Linked DNA regions of Oryza sativa Japonica Group. The protein of the gene in region 1 binds, or shares a complex with, the protein of each later gene. Links are inferred from orthologs where the notes say so. Each region holds a gene or a part of one and is shown in the gene's direction. Other genes may lie near its edges.

What was found. Proteins that work in one complex are often made in the same cells at the same time.
Region 2: the proteins of ndhJ (region 1) and nAD(P)H-quinone oxidoreductase subunit M, chloroplastic are in contact, whole or in part, in a cryo-EM structure (PDB 7WFG), measured with the Arabidopsis thaliana proteins. The link is inferred for Oryza sativa Japonica Group from reciprocal best matches to the Arabidopsis thaliana genes ndhJ and NdhM. Residues at the interface, in NP_051062.1 of Arabidopsis thaliana: Pro134, Ser136, Trp137, Ile138, Pro149, Asn150, Phe151, Tyr152, Glu153, Gln155, Ala157; in NP_001031804.1 of Arabidopsis thaliana: Thr156, Glu157, Tyr158, Arg161, Leu162, Ser165, Glu168, His169, Arg172, Ser192, Met193, Gly194.

The regions. Positions count from the first base shown.
Region 1 is NC_001320.1:47,347-49,764, reverse strand, and holds ndhJ (NADH dehydrogenase subunit J), read left to right. Parts: upstream 1-1,293; coding exon 1,294-1,773; downstream 1,774-2,418. Other genes in the region: ndhC (NADH dehydrogenase subunit 3), read left to right, coding at 103-465; ndhK (NADH dehydrogenase subunit K), read left to right, coding at 519-1,196. UniProt on the Arabidopsis thaliana protein: NDH shuttles electrons from NAD(P)H:plastoquinone, via FMN and iron-sulfur (Fe-S) centers, to quinones in the photosynthetic chain and possibly in a chloroplast respiratory chain.
Region 2 is NC_089038.1:27,480,375-27,483,579, forward strand, and holds nAD(P)H-quinone oxidoreductase subunit M, chloroplastic, read left to right. Parts: upstream 1-1,326; 5' UTR 1,327-1,366; coding exon 1,367-1,852; intron 1,853-2,006; coding exon 2,007-2,183; 3' UTR 2,184-2,547; downstream 2,548-3,205. Other genes in the region: uncharacterized LOC4336529, read left to right, coding at 65-301; uncharacterized LOC4336531, read right to left, coding at 2,815-2,892. UniProt on the Arabidopsis thaliana protein: NDH shuttles electrons from NAD(P)H:plastoquinone, via FMN and iron-sulfur (Fe-S) centers, to quinones in the photosynthetic chain and possibly in a chloroplast respiratory chain.

The DNA.
Region 1 (2,418 bases):
TTGTTTCACCGAGGAAAAGAGAGAAATTCTGTATAAATTGACAATGCTGACTTGAATTGACTAATTCAGTTCCGCCTATTCCACATTAATGGGAGTACATTTATGTTTCTGCTTCACGAATATGATATTTTTTGGGCATTTCTAATAATAGCAAGCCTTATTCCTATTTTAGCATTTTGGATTTCAGCACTTTTAGCTCCGGTTCGTGAAGGACCAGAGAAGCTTTCTAGTTATGAATCGGGTATAGAACCCATGGGGGGGGCTTGGTTACAATTCCGAATACGCTATTACATGTTTGCGCTAGTTTTTGTTGTTTTTGATGTGGAAACGGTCTTTCTCTACCCTTGGGCAATGAGTTTCGACGTATTGGGTATATCCGTTTTTATCGAAGCTTTCATTTTCGTGCTTATCCTAGTTGTTGGTTTAGTTTATGCATGGCGAAAAGGAGCCTTGGAATGGTCTTAACTGAATATTCAGACAAAAAAAAAAAAGAAGGAAAAGATTCCATTAAGACAGTTATGAGTTTGATTGAGTTTCCCCTACTTGACCAAAGAAGTTCCAATTCCGTTATTTCAACTACACTAAAAGATCTTTCGAATTGGTCAAGACTCTCTAGTTTATGGCCCCTTCTATATGGTACCAGTTGTTGTTTCATTGAATTTGCTTCATTAATAGGCTCACGATTCGACTTTGATCGTTATGGATTGGTACCAAGATCAAGTCCTAGGCAAGCGGACCTAATTTTAACAGCCGGTACAGTAACAATGAAAATGGCTCCCTCTTTAGTGAGATTATATGAGCAAATGCCTGAACCAAAATACGTCATTGCTATGGGAGCTTGTACTATTACTGGTGGAATGTTCAGTACGGATTCCTATAGTACTGTTCGGGGAGTTGATAAGTTAATTCCTGTGGACGTCTACTTGCCGGGTTGCCCACCTAAACCAGAGGCTGTTATAGATGCCCTAACAAAACTTCGTAAGAAGATATCGCGAGAAATAGTTGAGGATCGAACTCTATCTCAAAAGAAAAATCGATGTTTTACTACCAGCCACAAGCTTTATGTTCGGCGCAGTACTAATACTGGAACTTATGAGCAAGAATTGCTCTATCAATCACCATCTACTTTAGACATATCTTCTGAAACTTTTTTCAAATCCAAAAGTCCAGTATCTTCCTACAAATTAGTGAATTAGGAGGAGCTCTTTGTGCCGAAAAAGAAAGAGCAGGGCAATATTTCAAACTTGCATTCGAACTGCGAAATATTTATACAAAGGAGGAGAGATCAAGATAATGCAGCAGGGTTGGTTATCTAATTGGCTAGTCAAACATGAGGTGGTTCATAGATCTTTGGGCTTCGATCATCGAGGAATAGAGACTTTGCAAATAAAAGCAGAGGATTGGGATTCCATTGCTGTCATTTTATATGTATATGGTTACAATTATTTACGTTCCCAATGTGCTTATGACGTTGCACCCGGTGGATCTTTAGCTAGCGTGTATCATCTTACGAGAATACAGTATGGTATAGATAACCCAGAAGAAGTATGCATAAAAGTCTTTGCCCAAAAGGATAATCCTAGAATCCCATCTGTCTTCTGGATTTGGAGAAGTTCCGATTTTCAAGAACGCGAATCTTTTGATATGGTGGGAATCTCTTATGATAATCATCCACGCCTTAAACGTATCCTAATGCCTGAAAGTTGGATAGGCTGGCCCTTACGTAAGGACTATATAACCCCCAATTTCTATGAAATACAAGATGCTCATTGAATGATAAGAAATTCATGCTCACTTATACAACACAACTCCAGATTTTATGCAAGTCAAGGAATATTTTTACGCTCTGTTCCTAGATGAAACAGAATACCTATTACATTCTAATTAATTCCAATTATACAAAAGGTTCAGATAGACTAAGCAAAAAAGGGCTTCATTTCGTTGGAAAATCACATATTCATTTCCTTCGTATGAACAGAAAAATATGATGACTCAAAGAAGTTCCCTACCACGAACTTTGTACCGCGTGCATTACTTAGAACAACTAGTAAAGTAAGATAAGATAAGCAAGAATAAAAAAATATTTGTCGGAATAGCGGAATAGAAAATTAAGAAATGCAAAAATGCAGAAAAAGAAGTGCCTCTATTTAGAGATTTATCTACTTAGATGAAAAAATCATACTCTATCTATATTATTAACGAATATGTATCCCAACCCATCTCGAGGTATTTGTATCAATACCTATTCGGAAGATCCCTTTTTTCTGTGCCAGGAACCAGATTTGAACTGGTGACACGAGGATTTTCAGTCCTCTGCTCTACCAACTGAGCTATCCTGACCTTTTCTTGTGCATCATCCTAGTAGAGTATTTGTATCTATGTCAATATCCAAAATTTGGAAATGGGGAGGGGGCAGTC
Region 2 (3,205 bases), on another chromosome or scaffold:
CAGCTACTGTTATGTTCGAGAGCAGAGTTCGTATTTGTCTTAACTCGATTTGAGCGAATGGCAGTGCTCAGACATGGCGGTCATGAAGGCGAGGCTACGAGCCATGGACCGGGAGTTCGTCGTGAGGAAAGTGTGGGACGGGGAGACGGTGGTGGACCAGCTCTTCTTCCACGACCCCGACGGCAATATGATCGAGGTCTGCAACTGCGAGAACCTCCCCGTGATACCCCTCATCGTTGCATCGACGCCCGGGCTTCCTGAGCTGCTGCCGCCGGCGATGCAGACCAATGTCCATGGCTAGCTCGAGCTACGTTCTTATGTCTCTCCTTTGTACATAAATACATGATTAAATTTCATTCGTTTGAATTGGTTCATTCGTACGTTAGTTGTAAGTATTCTATTTGCTGCACCATGCATACACGTTAGTTGTAGTAATTGATTGCTGCCAAGATTACATTACTGCCCAATATATATATATATATATATGAACAAGTTGTTTATATATAATAAAGTGTTTTAAGTGTTCCAAGTCTCCGGTGTACGACGTACATGTCTCCCAAGTATTTTACTCTGTTCGTCCCATTTTAAGTGTAGCCATGATTTTCCGCGCCTAATTTTAACGGTCCGTCTTATTTAAAAAAAATTAAAAACATAAGTCACGGGTAAAGTGCTATTCATGTTGTATCATCACATAACAACAACAAAAATACTAATTATAAAAAATTTTCAAATAAGACGGATGATCAAAGTTAGACACGGAAATTTATGGTTGCACTTAAAATAGGACGGATGGAGTAATCCTGAACAGACTTTTCCCGCCTGAGAAAGCTTAAAATCACTACAGAGGCTTTTGCTTTGCCTTTCATGTGAAGCGATCATCACAAAGTGAAAAGGAAAAAAAATTACTCTCGTTATTTTAAAGGCCATGGAGTATGCGTATCCTCTGCTTTTGCTGTGCCGAGGAAAAGTGGGTTACTTCTTTAAGTATGAAATCACCGTCACACCACATGGAGTTATAAAAAAACAGTCACATACAAAGTTTTGTCAGAAATGCAACAGTATTTATCCATACCACACGAGAGCGCGTGCTGCTCAGCTCTGTCATGCAATGCAACAGGCCGTGCCAACGTCCACAGCCCAATACATTTGTGTGGTCAATTGGCCCAGAACATGTACGAGTCGCTGAAACCCAGTGCCAGAAATAGCCCTTATCCACACAAGCCACACACAGCCAGTGGCTCCAAGGCGGCACGGCACGGCAGCTTAGCCGCGCGCGCGCAGGCGCAGCAAACCTAAAAAAACCACCACCACCCACGCAACACAAACACAAGCCAAGCCAAAGCCAAGCGAAACAGCTGCGCGCAGCATGGCAACCACGGCGTCCCCGTTCCTGTCCCCGGCCAAGCTGTCGCTCGAGCGCCGGCTCCCGCGCGCGACGTGGACGGCGCGACGAAGCGTCAGGTTCCCGCCGGTGCGAGCCCAAGATCAGCAGCAGCAGGTGAAAGAGGAGGAGGAGGAGGCGGCGGTGGAAAACCTGCCGCCGCCGCCGCAGGAGGAGGAGCAGAGGCGGGAGCGGAAGACGAGGAGGCAGGGGCCGGCGCAGCCGCTGCCGGTGCAGCCGCTGGCGGAGAGCAAGAACATGAGCCGGGAGTACGGCGGGCAGTGGCTGAGTTGCACGACGCGGCACATCCGCATCTACGCCGCGTACATCAACCCGGAGACCAACGCCTTCGACCAGACGCAGATGGACAAGCTCACCCTCCTCCTCGACCCCACCGACGAGTTCGTCTGGACCGACGAGACGTGCCAGAAGGTCTACGACGAGTTCCAGGACCTCGTCGATCACTACGAGGTATACTACGCACCGTAACTCATAGGCAGAATTGGCAATTGCAAATGCAGGGTAGCAGTAGTGTACACCCATGGTCTCTTTCTCCAGGTGGAAATGTTAGTTGTAAGAGCTTAATTGGTAGTACCTGCTTAACTGACCTGGATTGAATTTACAGGGCGCGGAGCTGTCAGAGTACACGCTTCGTTTGATCGGATCTGATCTTGAGCACTTCATCCGCAAACTGCTATACGATGGGGAGATAAAGTACAACATGATGTCTAGAGTCCTCAATTTCAGCATGGGCAAACCAAGGATCAAATTCAACAGCAGCCAGATCCCAGATGTAAAATAGAATGCGTGTTGTACCCTAAAGAGAAAGCATGTAACTATCAATGATTTTCCCGTTCAAAGATGCCCAATGTATATTTTGCTCTTCCAGAAGAGCCATGAGCTAGGGTATTTCCGAACTCAAATCGGGTTCATACAAAAGCAGAACATTCACAGTCGATAATAATTTTGTCGACTCCAACATGGTTACATAAAGAGAAGCTGAGCAAACTGAGGGTATTACCCTGTCGTGAAGACTAAGGAAGGGTCTAGCACTCTAGTTTCATGGCATTTCCGTTCTATGGTTTTTGCTGAGTATTAGCGGTGTGAAAATGTCGATACTTCAGGTAATCCAATCACATTGAAATAACACCACTGCTTTATTGCTTTATGATGGTGAGATCAGGTAGAACATGGAATCCAGCCCTCAAATTCACAGGCAAAACTCAATGTTAAATTATTTGCAAAGAGGATGTGCGCATATTCCAATAGGGAATTATTTCTCGATCATTGGCAATATATTTATTTATCTCATTCCATATAGATACGAGACAATCTCTGCTGATGACATTACGTCACCCTTAAGAGAGTCATTCCCGCAAATAGATGTTTAATGTTTTGGACTTGAGGGTTTGACCAGCTGCAATGTGTAAATCTCAATCGATCAAAGGAATAACCTCGTGGTCTTTAGAAACATCAACCCATGGCCTGAATTGATCTTCATGTGCATTATTCTGCAAAAGAGTGTCATACAATTCAAAAATTGCCAATTACAAAACTGCATCTCAATCTTTTTTTAGAAAAATGCCATCGCTGCATTAAGTACTAATGTCATCATGCTACTTAGGTAGTTGTGTTGTACTAAACTGCAGAGTACAATTCCACGCAGTAAGAAAATAGTACTATTCAGTAATGCTGCAAATAAACTGTTTACGCTGCTACTTATATCAGGCTCACCTAGACTGATCTTAAAATGAACTGTATATTGAGCAGCAAATGAACCATCTATTCCGACTTAGAAAAAAAACATCTATAAGTTATCGAAAG